Saccharomyces cerevisiae S288C: one gene and its partners. The gene in region 3 interacts genetically with the main gene of each other region. Each region holds a gene or a part of one and is shown on either strand. Other genes may lie near its edges.

The links. Genes that interact genetically often act in the same process or in processes that back each other up.
Region 1: mutations in YIL014C-A (region 3) and ADH4 together harm fitness more than expected from each alone (negative genetic interaction), as found in Saccharomyces cerevisiae (one large-scale study listed by BioGRID).
Region 2: mutations in YIL014C-A (region 3) and YLR012C together harm fitness more than expected from each alone (negative genetic interaction), as found in Saccharomyces cerevisiae (one large-scale study listed by BioGRID).

Annotation. Positions count from the first base shown.
Region 1 is NC_001139.9:12,019-17,629, reverse strand, and holds ADH4 (alcohol dehydrogenase ADH4), read right to left. Parts: upstream 2,472-5,611; coding exon 1,323-2,471; downstream 1-1,322. Other genes in the region: alpha-1,3-mannosyltransferase MNT2, read left to right, coding at 3,473-5,149. UniProt on the Saccharomyces cerevisiae protein: Alcohol dehydrogenase specific for ethanol. Acts mainyl as a mitochondrial formaldehyde dehydrogenase and has no effect on ethanol production. Shows drastically reduced activity towards primary alcohols from 4 carbon atoms upward.
Region 2 is NC_001144.5:168,660-173,525, forward strand, and holds YLR012C (uncharacterized protein), read right to left. Parts: upstream 1,623-4,866; coding exon 1,323-1,622; downstream 1-1,322. Other genes in the region: LOT6 (flavin-dependent quinone reductase), read left to right, coding at 444-1,019; GAT3 (Gat3p), read left to right, coding at 2,680-3,105; PPR1 (Ppr1p), read right to left, coding at 3,609-4,866.
Region 3 is NC_001141.2:324,094-328,913, forward strand, and holds YIL014C-A (uncharacterized protein), read right to left. Parts: upstream 1,434-4,820; coding exon 1,119-1,433; downstream 1-1,118. Other genes in the region: aspartyl protease BAR1, read left to right, coding at 1-12; alpha-1,3-mannosyltransferase MNT3, read left to right, coding at 2,010-3,902; ATP-binding cassette multidrug transporter PDR11, read right to left, coding at 4,114-4,820.

The sequences.
Region 1 (5,611 bases), on a different chromosome or scaffold from region 3:
TATACAATAGGAAATATTCGACTCTACTTCCGAGAATAATGAAACTGGTCTGATATAATATTTGGATCACCGAAAGCTGGCCAAGAGATTGCTTACTTCCAGTGATGTGGACGAGAAAACCGTGTGACACCGTCCGCTACTTTCTACTATTGTCAGTTGGTCGGTTATTTGTGCTGTGTCATGTATTATGTACCTGGTCGGAGATCTTATAGTATATTTTGAGTATTGCTATTTGGAGTCTTCATAACGGCTTCTATGAAAAAGATTCATTTGTCGATATAAATATCAAATAAATATCATTAGCTCTTAGAAATATTTGAAAAGTACATACTACTTTCCACGAATGTACAGATTTATTTATCAGGCATGCTGCTGATATCGTCACAGTAGTTCAGTAATAATCATCGCTCTTGAATAACGCAAAAAGTATATTCTTAAGCTCATCTGAATGATAAGCCTTTTTCACTTAACATTTGCTTAAAATTTTTAGCAATGTACTGATACTTTCTCCTAAATCAACTGTATTTTAATTCGTTCGGAAATCATGTTTATGTCAAAATTTACTAGCCATTCCAATAATGTATTTATTATTAAATATATATATACTTCAAGGTCTGATGGGGGTGCTGTAGCATTTGCGATGTAGCGATAGCAATTGAAAATAAAGTGGGCTCCTTGTAATAATGCGGCTGGTAAGGTTACATTGCCGTTGTGTTTCGAGGTTATAATAAAGACAGCTATATCATAAAACGAATAAAAAAATATGCGCATGTGAATGACACACGAAAGTAATCGGATTGACGTTGCTTATAACAGGTTGAAAATTAGAGATATCAAACCAAAAAAAGGAAGACAATATCATTGACAGAATTCAGTGTGGCGGTGGATTGATTTAGATTGACTCAAAATTTTCGACATTGTCTGGTTGACGATGCCTTGTTTAATTGCAAAAGGCCTTCGAATTTCATTTTATTTCTTGCATCCAACTGAAACCCACCATATTAAAGCATGACTTTTGCATGACTATTTTTCAGTCTTAAATGCTTCAAAGCCAACAGTATGTCAGTAATTAAGTCCAAACTATTTTCAACAAACGTACCGGTCTCGGCTCATTAATAGAACTTCCGTTCTTCTTTTTTCAATTTAAAACAACGTAGATATATATTTTCATTGTTATATACTCGAAATTAACGTAATTATATAGATCGTGAAAAGTTAAAAAAATCATTTGATTGGTAAATAAATAAGTGCATTATACTGTACGCACAACTAAATAAATAAGGCACACGCATAATTGACGTTTATGAGTTCGTTCGATTTTTTTAATATTCATAGGCTTTCTTGATAATGGCAACCACTTGTTCTTTGGTGAATTGAACTGGGTTAGTCAAATGGCAGGCATCATGCATGGCGTGTTCAGCCAAAATTTCAAAATCTTCGGTTTTAACACCTAATTCTTTCAAGTTTCTTGGAATGTTCATGGTTCTGTTTAAAACGTGCAAAGCCTTGATGGTTTCTTCTGGATCTTCTTGAGAAGCACCGAAATGCAAAGCAATTTCACCTAATCTCTTCTTGGCCTTTGGACATTGCATGTTGGCCTCTTGAACATGAGGCAACAAGACAGCGTTACAAACACCATGAGGCAAGTGGTAGAAACCACCAAGTTGATGAGCAAGGGCATGAACATAACCTAGAGAAGCATTGTTGAAAGCCATACCTGCCAAGTATTCAGCGTAACACATGTCAGTTCTGGCCTTCTTGTCTTTACCGTCTTTGTATGCAGCGACTAAGCTTTCATTGATCAAATCAATACCCTTCAAAGCACAGGCATCGGTGATTGGGTTAGAGGCGGTGGAAACATAAGCTTCGATACAGTGAGTCAAAGCATCTAGACCAGTAGCAGCAGTCAAAGCAGGTGGCAAACCAAACATGGTAGATGGATCGTTGACAGCAACAGCTGGAGTGACGTTGTTGTCAATGATAGCCATCTTGATTTTCTTTTCTTCATTAGAGATAATAGTGAATCTGGTCATTTCGGAAGCAGTACCAGCAGTAGTGTTGATGGCAAATAGTGGTAAAGCAGCCTTCTTAGATTGATTGACACCTTCATAGTCTCCGATTTCCCCACCGTTAGTAGCCAATAAAGCAATGGCCTTAGCATTGTCGTGAGCAGAACCACCACCAATGGAAACAACAATTTCAGAGTTTTGTTCCTTCAAAACCTTCAAACCAGCTGTGACATTGGCAATATTTGGGTTTGGTTGAGTTTTGTCATAGATAGCAACGTTTAAGTCACGTTCTTCCAACATCTTTTGGACTCTACCGGAGAGACCAATAGCTGCAATACCAGGATCAGTAACGATCAAAGCCTTTTTGTAATCCTTGTTTTTGATGTAATCAGCGGTTTCTTCTAAAGCACCTTCACCAAAGAAAGAGATTGGTGGAATGTAAAACCCAGTAACGGAAGACATTTTTCTTATTTGACTATTAGTTGTTGCAAATGTAAACTTGTTGTTGATGGTTGTTTTGCAATAGACAGAAGAAAAACGTTTGACTCCAGTCTTTAATAAACCAGAAATGCTAATAACCCTTTTATACATGTTGGTACGCTGCCCTTTTTTCCTGTTTGATAAAAGAATATATCCTAGTAGTGTGAGATATTTGAGGCAGCAAAATATCAATTGCTTTGTAGAGTTAACGGCATACGTGATCCCAAGCATCTGACATATTAAACACGTACCTCGTGATGCGCGAACTAAAAACTAGTTCTTTTTTTTTTTTTTCATAGCTAATCCACTGCGGTGATACTACAGCCATCATCACAAACACTGCTAACAGTTATAACCATGTCAACATCACACTACAAAAAATGGCCTCCTTGGAGAAAATAAAATGGAAGCTCATTGAAGGCCTCCGGGGATCCTTCTGAACACAAAACGCAATTTCAAATCAGCAGCCTCAATTATACTGGTTGCTTAACCGTGAAGGTTCATTTAAGTACTTCTACTTTTTACAAACGCTCGATAACCTTTCAAGTAGTGCGCATAACAGCTGATGCATTAGAAAAAAATTTTCACACGATAGAACTGTAACGCACTACGAAACTAAGCAATATGGCGTAAACACACAAAGACTAAGGGACTTCTTGATTGATTTCTATCAGCAGCGTTCTCCGAATTGTAAATAATAAGTACATTATTAGTGGGCCTTAGGCAACTCTTTGAAACGGAAATTCTTGTTTACATTTTTCATTTTCCCGAGACGAAGTTTTGATGAGCCACACAATACCGGTAAAGAAAGAAAGAAGTACCTGGAACTAAAACAGTGCTAATTCTTCTTTCCTTTACTTTAGGGGTGGGGACCATCGAAGTGGGGGGAGACAGCAAATCTCTCAATTGAGTAAAATATTCGCATGAGTGTTTGCAAATCCGCAGTGACAGGACAAAAGTAGCCCCAATAGTATTTATCGAATATGAGAAGAAAAAATCGACTGTTTATATTAGTTGTACTACTGGGAATTGTGTTAGTAGTATATTACTCTCAGTTGAATTCGTTAGATTTGGTAGAACCAGTTCAAAGTAGCAGCAGTGGCAATGGTGGCTGCTGGAGTTACTATGAAGGTCTTACGCCTGGGTGGTTGAATGACTTCTACGACGTAAATCAAATAACCCCGAATCCTGCAAAAGATGTGATTGAACTGGTTACGAGGATTAAGATTTTTTTTAATTGCTTGCAGCAGGTTGATGGGCATAATATTCAGCGTTTGAGGGATATTGAAAAGAAGCTCTTTCCGTATATTAACTTTGAAAAATTAGAAACTGATGAAAGTGCCTTCTGGCACACAACTACGAGATGGAATGGCGAGGTTTACCATGCGTCTATGTTGGAATTTGACCCCAAAAACCATCAATTCCTTCGTTCTAAGCCCATCAATTTCGATACAGGGCTATCTTTTTGGGAGAATTGGTTGCACACTGTGACTCAAAGTGGTTCGAAAGGCATAGTTATTAGTGCTTCTGACGTGCAGTTGAATGAAACCATACGCTTATTGAAAGTGTTGAGGTTCATCAAAAATGATTATCCTATACAGATTGTTCATAATGCAGATCTGAGTCAAGATTCCATGAAATCTATTATCAAATATGCGAGAAGTCTAGACACCGCTGAATATCCTGCTCAAGAATTATGGTTTTTAAATGTACATAGTCTGCTAAACCCGAAATATTCGAAAAAATTTACCACCTATTCCAACAAGTGGTTAGCATTGACCTTCTCATCCTTTGAAATTCCTATTCTAATGGACTCAGATACAGTGCCCTTTGTTTCAATAGAAAAATTTTATGAATTAGAGGAATTTCAAAAGACTGGAGTTCTATTCTTTAAAGATCGGGTAATATCAGATGATCTATTTGAATCCTCTGAATTAAAAATTCTAAGGGAAATTGTCTATGGGTGTATTGGGCTTGATTTAGAGGATGAATCCAAGATACATGAGCAAGTAGAGGATCCAGTGGTTGCACAGGTTCTGGAAAACATGTTTATAAAGAAATATAAACATCATTTGGAAAGCGGCCTGGTAATATTGCATAAAGGAAAGCATCTCTTCAGTATGCTTACTTCAATAGCTTTACAATTTTCTCCAATTGCAGAATATTTTCATGGTGATAAGGACTTTTTTTGGCTGGGCGAATTACTTTCGAACAATCGCTTTACGTTCCATCCTGTGGATGCATCAAACATTGGTCAGTTGGGCAATGTAGTTTCAAAAGAGAGTACCGGTGAGTTTTACCAGATTTGTTCTGTGCAACTATCTCATACAGACAGGGACGGGTCCTTGCTATGGCTAAACGGGGGCCTTAATATTTGTAAAAAAACTTCATGGGAATACGATTATGAGCATAGACAGAGACTAAATGATATGTTCCAAAATGCAGATGAATTACGTGAATATTATGCATCACCAGTAAAACTTGAAGGGATTATAATACCAGATACTAGTATATCAGGATGGATTAACTCAGGAGAGTGTTTTTTGTTCAATTATTGCACATTATTCAAGGAAGGTGAGTTTGGAAAGTTGATCAAATTTAAAGAAGACGAAAAGCTCCGGCTTTCACAAATAGTCGACATATGGAATAAAGATATTTGACCAAGAGTTGTTCTAGTCTTATAAGCAATAGGTAAACCTACACGCTTTTGTTGTATAATGTAGTATAATTTTTGATATCTGAAAAATTATCGCACTGAAGTATAACGTAATGTTTTGTAACGAAGTTACTCTTTAAGTAAATCACTCTTGGCATGCATTGGATAACATAGCCATGATGCAACGCCAGCAAAAATCCAAATTGATTGCAATAGGGAACTATGAAAAATCTGGTACTCCCGGCCACGCTAAAATGATTTTCCACTAAGGTGTTCCTAAAACCTTTCGGATCCTTTATGTCTCTGGCATCATAAATGTCTGTTTAAATTAAAGTATATTGAATTGGTGTTGAAATTCAGCATAATCGAACCACTCTCATGTGGGATGTAGCATCATTCTTAACGCTTTTACTATGCGATCGCCACTTTTAAATGTTGGAAATTGTGAATAATTTACTTTTATCTT
Region 2 (4,866 bases), on a different chromosome or scaffold from region 3:
TACACTGTATATGACAGTATATACTACTGACATGAATACTAGTCGATAGTTAATACATGATTCTTATTACAACATGATGATTACAGTCTCGTCTTGGTCTGTTGTTTGACCCTACTATTTTATGCTATTTTTTGTATCTGATTTGAATTCAAGGCAATTGTTGTAATTCCATTCTTGGCATAACCCTGTGTAGATTCTACAGATAAGCTGCTTTTTTCTTTGAGTGGTGCCCCCGTTGTTTATTACCCGTCAGTATCATAACATTTGAGCATCTCACATGGTTACGAATGTAAATATGAATCAAAGAAGGTGCAAAATCAAAAAAAATCGAAAGATTTGACATGCCTATTGAAAAGGGAAAGTTGTATATCTATCAATTGTTAATTAGTTACTTGGTCATCTCCATTACCAGCTGAGGTGCTTAGTCGACAACCGCATTAAACATGAAAGTGGGTATTATAATGGGTTCTGTGAGGGCAAAGAGGGTATGCCCAGAAATTGCAGCATACGTAAAACGTACAATTGAAAATAGCGAAGAATTAATAGACCAGAAGCTGAAAATACAAGTAGTAGATTTACAACAGATTGCTCTTCCCTTATATGAAGATGATGACGAACTGATCCCTGCGCAAATAAAGAGCGTGGATGAGTATGCAGACAGCAAAACTCGATCGTGGAGTCGCATCGTAAATGCATTAGATATTATTGTATTCGTTACACCTCAATATAATTGGGGGTATCCAGCAGCCTTAAAAAATGCAATTGATCGTCTTTACCATGAATGGCACGGAAAACCTGCCCTGGTGGTAAGCTACGGCGGTCATGGCGGTAGTAAGTGTAATGACCAACTTCAAGAGGTACTACATGGTTTGAAGATGAATGTTATAGGTGGAGTGGCGGTGAAAATACCGGTAGGTACGATACCGTTACCCGAGGACATTGTACCACAACTCAGCGTGCACAATGAAGAGATCCTGCAATTACTCGCATCGTGCATCGAAACAACGAGGAATAAATAAACCATAAAATTTAACTGTAGTCGCAATAAAAGATGAAAAGCTAACACAATTATCATAGGACACTGTAATCCAGACTTTAATTAGTATTAAGTATTGAGTACAAAGTACAAAGTATTATACTAACGGTAGTTTGGGCTCTTCGATTACCCATACACTTTTAATGGACTAATTTCATCAAGTTTCATTCGAAAATTTTCTTAAAATATATATATGCGTAGTGGTATAGTATTCATATTTCATGAACTTATTTCATAAAAAAAGATAAAGCAAACCTAATATTTGGATCGGCGCTCGAAATTATTCTCAGTATTCTTCAGCATTAGACATCTTTAACATATCAATCTTTAAAAGGTTTCTTCTTCTTCTGTAGCTCGGAATATAAGCATTCATATATGACCATGTTGTAACGCGATCGAACCAAGCAACTTCTTCTTGTGCAAATTTCCTAGCAATACCAGGCACACCTCCTTGACGATCAAATGCAATTCTTTCAGTCTCTTGTTCAAAATCTTTTTGACATAAAGCCAGGTATTTTTCCTGTTGTTCAGGTTGCAGTTGAAGATACTGCTGGTAGGTGATTTCTTTGTAATAGACAGTCTTCATTTGAATATGTTCGAGACTTTTTCTCTTAATCTCTATGAATATTTTCTGTCTTGAAGCTGCCGTCTTCATAGAATGTTGTTCTATTATCCACCTCGAACATGGCCTTTTTATACGTTTTTACATTAAACATCCCCTTCATATTAGTTTGTTCTCGACTTAATTCTACTCATGCTTCTGACATTTTTTCATGCCAAGACCGGCCCTGAAAAAGGGTCCGGATATACGGATAGCGCCACACATTCAATTAGGGGAAGTATTATTTGATACATTGTCAGCACACAGCGATTTAACCCATTATTTGGCATGACAAGCAAGCTATTCGACAGTGAAAAATGCACAGAACATTCAAAATTATACTTATAATATGACTCTTTTCTTTTATTGCAGTTGGTATTATATACATATATATATATATATATATATGTATATGTTCCCCGAGACAATGGTTTTATTTCCAAAAAAAGTGTAAGTAAGTTATTTTCTGTGTATAAAAAAATAAAAGAAGCCAGATGAAGTGCCAGGTGGCGTACCAGGACTTCAGCTTTCTTTAGTTTGCATAATGAAAGTATCACTTACAGCTCCCTTGAAGGATTAGACGCTATTAACCCCGATGAAAACGCATCAACAAAACCTTTAACACAGTACTTATTTGGTGCAATACATACTCACACAAACACCTGTAGAAAATCCCCTTATATGAAAATCCCTTTTTTTTCTTGGCAAGTATTTCTGATAAAATGCGGACAACATTACCTGCTTAGCCGCCTGCCACAGAAAATAAGTAGGCTTCTCTGTAAAATGGAATAATAGGCTAGAGGTCAAAAACCTCCTCTTCAGTCATATCTATGTTTTTAAGGGTCTAGGGTCCAATTTGATGGAAAAGAACAAATGGTCGAGCATGTTAATTAATATTTGTTGCTCTGTTTGAAGAGTATATTATAAGACGAGAGGTTCTTTGAGGGAGCTTATCTTACCTTTTCTTGATTTGAAACAATTTCATTAAATGTAAACAATTATCAACTAGAAGCAAATATAAAGCCAGAAGGAAGAATTTGCTATGAACATTAAGACTTTGTGTCATCCAGAATATAAAAGAATCTCCGTTGAATCGTTATTGAATCCGGTAGAGGAGACAATAGACTGCGAAAAACCTCACTCTCAAACAAAAATCAATACTGCTAAACCCATTAGTGCATCTTTGTATGTCACAACGAATAATACTGCTGTTGTTCAGCACAATGTCCAAAAGAGGAAAGGCGTCACCAGGAGATGTCCACAGTGTGCGGTGATAAAAACTTCTCCGCAATGGAGAGAGGGTCCTGATGGAGAGGTGACATTGTGTAATGCCTGTGGATTATTTTATAGAAAAATATTTTTGGTTTTTGGCAAGGATCTGGCAAAACGGTACTTTAACGAAATAAAAGGTGTGAGCGTCAAACGAAAAGTTCCAAAGAGCCTCTATGGAGTTACAAGAACGCGTTAAGAGAATTTATTTCTGCTCGGAATGTTATATACTTATGTCAAAGCAGTGATTATACATTTATCGACTTTAAACAGTTGATAACGAACATTATGTGTTATTCGAAAGTCAAAGTGCCATACAAAACAAGTGGTTTCTCAGTTCTTGCAATTTTTCTTTATCAGCGTAGTCCCAGAAAAAAAAATCATCACTGGAAATGTAAGATGAATTCAAGTATCAAGTGCCGTTGGTATTATAGTTTATCAATTAATACGTAAATATATATATATATATATATATATATATATATGACTATAGTGGCATACTTCTCAATGGACTGTTGCTTCTATCATTTTATACATGCGTTCAACTTTGAAGATTATCACAAAAACCTCAAACTTTTCAATTAATCTGCCCCGGTCATTTAAGTTAGCTCTTTTAGGACTCTCATGTTTTCAAAAAATAGATTGAAAAGAGCATTGGTGGCCCTACTTTCAATCCATTGATCATGATTCTTCGAGCTATCGCTAAAATATTCCACCGGATTCAGAGTTCTTTCCTTTACTGATATCGTAAGAAGACTCGCCTTCGTTTCCGTTACCAGACCTGACAAAAAACTCATCCCATACAGATCCCGAAGTAACCTGGAAAAGGATATCCATGATATCTTGATTATTGGTATACGACTGGCAATTCAATGCAGAAGACGTATTTGTAGAAGCACTTTCATTTATCACTTGATTACCTTCGCTTACATCTAAAGTATTAAACTGGGAAACATTGCTGTGTTTTTCCAGTTCGGTAAAAAATTCATCTAGAGGTATATCAAAAGGTGCTTTTTCTTCAAAATTGGTTCTATTAAAAACCTTGTTATCAAAAGTACCGTCGTCAAAACCAAGTACGTTCGTTTTTTTATCATAACTTGACATGCGGTTTGCCTGAGAGGTTAGGGGATTTGAATCCGAAAATATCCCTTTGGCATCATTTATTTGCATAAATTTTAACTTTATTACAACTGATGATAAAATTTTGTAACTCGTGTAACAGGTTTTCGCAGATTCGCAAAAACCTATCAGATTCTTCAGTACTATCAACACTTTTTCAGTGTACTCTGACACTTTTTCTTGACAATCATTTATGTTGTTTTTTGAGTAAAAATTTACGTAAAGGTAAGTCATACCTGTCATGAACATGTTATGAACTGCTACCCACGTGTAACCAATTTTTTTATTGACACAAAGATTGTAAAATACGTCTATGGTGCCCTTCGTACTGTCCAGGACAATTTTAAAAGCGGTATCATTCAAAGTAGGGAATTTTGGAGAAAGTCCATAAAGAATGCTCTTCGAGTAATGATAGTTCAGATCAAACCAGATGCTGTTAAATTTGCAATTCATCATCTCAAAGTTTTTGGGAACGTCCACTTGGAACCAACGCTCAAGCTCATTGTAGGTTTCAATCCGCCAGCTCTCGAGATCCATAAACCTCCTCGGCAATTCTGCACCGGGCGCGTAGAGTATTCTCACTATACTAGCTTGGATTCTTCTGATTTTATACATGGCCAATGCGATAACTTTTGAAGACGGATTTGGGCTTGGTAAGTCTGAGTAGTCGTCAATTTCTCGGTTAGTTAATGTGATGAAGGAATCGTCCAAAAGGCTAGGATACCTGGTGGTGATGCTTTCTTCAGGTATACCAAAAGGTCGACCAAAATACGAGCAAATTTGCCGATCTAAGGAGTAAACGCACCAAAATAGACGCCTGCGTATTTCTCTGGTAAAGGCG
Region 3 (4,820 bases):
CCAACATATTAAGAAATCTGGAGTACAATTTCTTTATAGCATATAAATATCAAATATATAGTCATTTTTAATACATGGAAAGCATAATAAAAAAACAAGGGGAGTTTTACTGATATCATTGGGATATATAAAACAAAATAGTAATATTATGCAGCCATCACAATTTTGAACAAGTAGCACATTATTCATTGAATAAATGCTAAAAAAATCTCCGCGACGGGGAATTGAACCCCGATCTGGCACGCGACAAGCGCCCATTCTGACCATTAAACTATCACGGAATATTAGATGTGATATTGTTGTATCTCAAAATGCGATACGTCAATATGACAATACGTCATCCTAAACGTCCGTAAAACACATATGAAACAACCTTATAACAAAACGAACAACATGAGATAAAACCCGGCCTCCCCTAGCTGAACTAACCAAACGTATAAATGCCTGAACAATTAGTTTAGATCCAAGATTCCGCGCTTTCACCATTTAGTATGATTCATATTCTATACAATATATAAGATAAGTAACATCCCGTGAATTAAGCTGATAATCCGTTTTGACAGCTCGTTACTTCCCTAAGACTGTTAATAATAATAAGATTGTCAAGACACCCCGGTATTACTCGAGCCCGTAATACAACAATTTTTTCATTTCACTTATCCTTTGTATTTTATGTACAGTAAAATCTGTCATCTGAAATAAGGACCTTGTTGAAGAAAGACTTTGTTGTGTCGGAATGTTGGAATAAAAATCCACTATTTTCTATCAACTAATAGTTATACTATCAATATATTATCATATACGTTGTTAAGATGATGACATAACTTATGAGAAGCTGTCATCGAGGTTAGAGGAAGCTGAAATACAAAAATTGATAATGTAATAGGATAACGAAACATATAAAACGGAATGAGGAACAATCGTAATATTAGTATGTAAAAATATAAATTCCACTTTGAGGATTCCTATGTCCTCGAGGAGAACTTTCAGTATATTCTGTATACATAATATTATAAGCATTTATCAACAATGGAACCCCCAACAATTATCTCAAAATTCACCCATTTCTCAAATATTATATAGCCTTTACTAACAACGGAATTCCAACAATTATCTAATTATTCATTAAATGGCCAGGAAAGTCCTGGCAGAGGGGTACTTTCATCAGTAAAGGAATAATTGTCCCAGTACTCCCCCGCATCATAAACCCACTGGGTTGCATTCTCCAAAGTTGGCACTAGATGAGTTGCTATTAATTCCTCCGTGCAGCCATTTATAGCGGACACATTTAAAACATAGTCACCTAACATTGGGTTAGTTGTATAAGATAGATAGCTAATATCAGGCGTGGCATTCCCCCAAATAATCAATAAGTTTGCTGATTCATTACTCATCAAAGTAGTTATACTGGGATAGTTCATGTCAATGTCCATTTCTTTTCAGAAAAACAGACTGTTAAATAAAACAGGCCTTAAACTTCAATTTTTGAACTTTTTTCTACTTTCTGCCTTTAGCTCTGTTGTCTCATTAAAATAGTACATAATTTGTGCATAGCTACTTGTAAGAAGCAGTCGAGTAAATGTTTGGAAGCTGTTTGCAACCACATTTTAAATGATATCCTTTATGCGATAATCTCATCTACCGTAAAATACGAGCTTCTATGGCCAAGTTGGTAAGGCGCCACACTAGTAATGTGGAGATCATCGGTTCAAATCCGATTGGAAGCAATTTTTTTTCTTTGAAAGAGAATCTTTTTCAAATACGGAAGAATGAAGAAGTATCGACAATGCAAATTACCTTAATGATCTCGTCTAAAAAAATTTTGAAGAGGAATTATTCTGATTTACACGCAAAAAGTGGCAATAATCTACTCTTTAATTTGGTATCATTGTTTGTCTTAGTACTTAAATTGTGCCTCTGGAACTGATCAAATTCCTTTCTCCATCACATGAGTACGAGGAGGGGTGTTAAGGAATTAAAGACAGTCTACTAAAACTATTTCCCTAAGCATGCTTAAATCATTAAAATCCAGAAGACTAATCTTAAAACGATTAGTAACACTGCTGCTCTCTTTATTCTTTTCTTATCTCATTTTCTCTGCCAGTCGGAATGTTACATCATCCAATAAATTAAACAACCATGCAAGCGAGAGGACAGCTGTTGAATCATCTGCATTCAATTGGATTGAAAAACGACAACACCAAGTGAGATCCGAAAACTTAATGAACAGATTATCTGCCTACTTTTTGCCCTTTTTGAGTAGAAGTTCTCACAAAGAACGTGTATTGTTGAGGCAATTAGGAAATAATGAAATAGCGAAGAGTGACAAGTGCCGTTACATTTTTGAAGTACTATACAAGATTGATCCCGACTGGGACAATGCGCAAACTGCAAAATTTTATAATGTTGATGGTGTAGATAACACGTTGGCCTCATTGTTAGGGGAAAGATTAAGATCTTATGATTATTGCTTTTTATCTGGTCAATTAGATCCTACTGCAATATTTGCAAATTCAACCGTAAATCCTCATGATTTGCAAAACAGAATGTTTCCATTTCTGAAGAAAATTAACGAGGAATCCAAAACTGTAATGTGGCCTATTATCACAGACATGACAACTGGAGAGGCAGTTCCGGCACCCGAGGTTGATATGGAATCATCAAACTTTAATGGTAACTTTTGGTCCAACTGGAATAGGTTGAGCAAAGGAAGAGGTTTTGTTTTAACTATTGCTGAAAAGGATGTTCCTTTATTTTTGAAACAGTTGAAAGTGATGGAATTTTCAAAAAACGAATTACCATTCCAAATAGTATCCACGGGAAATGAACTATCAGCAGAGTCTATTGCTAAAATTTCTGAGACCGCTAAAGAAACGGAACAAAGGGTCTACTTAGTAGACTGCTCGACAGTGCTTGACACTAATTTTGCTAATACATACATTTCTTTTTTTCAGAATAAATGGGTCGCCACTTTGTTCAACACATTTGAAGAATACATTTTGTTGGATGCAGACGTAGTACCGTTTGTAGGGTCTGATTACTTTTTCGACTCTCCTTCTTACAGGGAGAGCGGGATACTTTTGTTCAAGGATAGGGTTATGGAAAACGAGCAAACTTTCCAATACTGCATCGAAATGTTAAATGAAGTGGAACCCTCTGCACAAGAACGCAGATTTATTGGAAGTAGGTTAGTTTTTGATTCGTCATTACCGTTTTCTTCCGAAACCTCAGAAGAAGCATCTGTGTATTACAATTTTTTCAAAAAATTACGACTCCATCATGTTGATAGTGGTTTGGTTGTAGTCAATAAACTTGAGAAATTAAATGGATTGTTGATGTCTTTTATGTTAAATTTGGATGGAAAATTGCAGAGGTGTGTGTATGGTGACAAGGAAATATTCTGGTTGGGGCAATTATATGCTGGCCAGGATTATTCTATCAATCCCGTTGATGGCAGTATTATTGGACCTGTTAATGAAGAGCCTGAAAATGATGACGGACATAAAAGCGGGATGTACTACATTTGTTCTACGCAGATTGCACACAGTGACTCCAAAAATCGATTACTATGGGTAAACGGTGGACTGAAGACTTGTAAAATTTCGAACAGTGCTGAAGATGACTTTGGAAGAGAGCCAGAGTATTTTAAGAGTAGATATGGGGACATTTCAAAATTAAAAAGGATATATGATGCTTCGTTGAACGTAGAGGGACTAATCGTTCCTGACGTTTCTGTTCATCCATGGATGCAAATCAAGGAATGTTCTAATTATATGTATTGTGCATATGCTACGGGTGACGGACACACAAACTCTGAACTTGACGAAGGTCGTCTAATCACGTTTACTGAAAAGGAATTACGATATATCAATGATATTTCTCGAACCTGGAATGCTAATTGAGAAAAAAAAAAGTGAAAAGGAAATGAGAGTATTAATATTTATTAAGTATGGAGCATATATAATCCGAAAAATGATTATAGATTAATTTAGAATATGATTTGGGAATAAATTAACAATTAGTTTAAAGCAGAAGGCAGCCGGATGAGGAACAAGAACTGTTGAATAGTATTAGGTAATTTTGAATGTTTTCTAACGGAACGCTATTCACTGATTATACGCTTTGTTCGTTTGGATTATGAGATGTTTTGGACCGCCTCATTGATGGGATACACTTCTTTATACCATCAATCACAGAAGGCCAAATTTTTTTGATGTAGGTTAGGTAGAAGCCCACAAACATGGCGGCAATGTTAAAGCAAACGAAAACCCATTCAAAACCAAAATTTCTCCATCTGTGATGATAACTCATATTTTCTTGAGCAAGGAAGTCATCCCCAACAGTGTACATGCAGTAGGCGCAGACGGTGTATGTGTTATTGATGTGCAGTTTCCCACCAAATTCATCAATAAAGGGTTTCATAAACTGACCGCAGGTTTGACCCATTACAGGTTGGCTTGGTACCATTTCACTTGTCGAGCAGTTTACTTCTCTGTCATGGAGAAGTAAGCTTACGAAAGTTTCAATGAAATACGTGTATGGTGAAACCCTGTACATGAATGTCCAAAATCTTGGGAATAACGAGTATGGTTGCATAACGCCACAGAATGAAGCTGTGAAACTATAGAGGAAGGCAACAAAGACAGCGGCAGTTTGTAAATCGGGGGCAGAATATAGAAGCCACAACCCAAATGACAAATAATACATGGAAAATAAAATATAATTCAAGTAAAAGACACCAGCTACACGGGCAGAGGTTTCGAAACCGCAACAGAAGTAGCAACACAGGAAAAATAAGGTAGAACTGGAAATGGCTAATG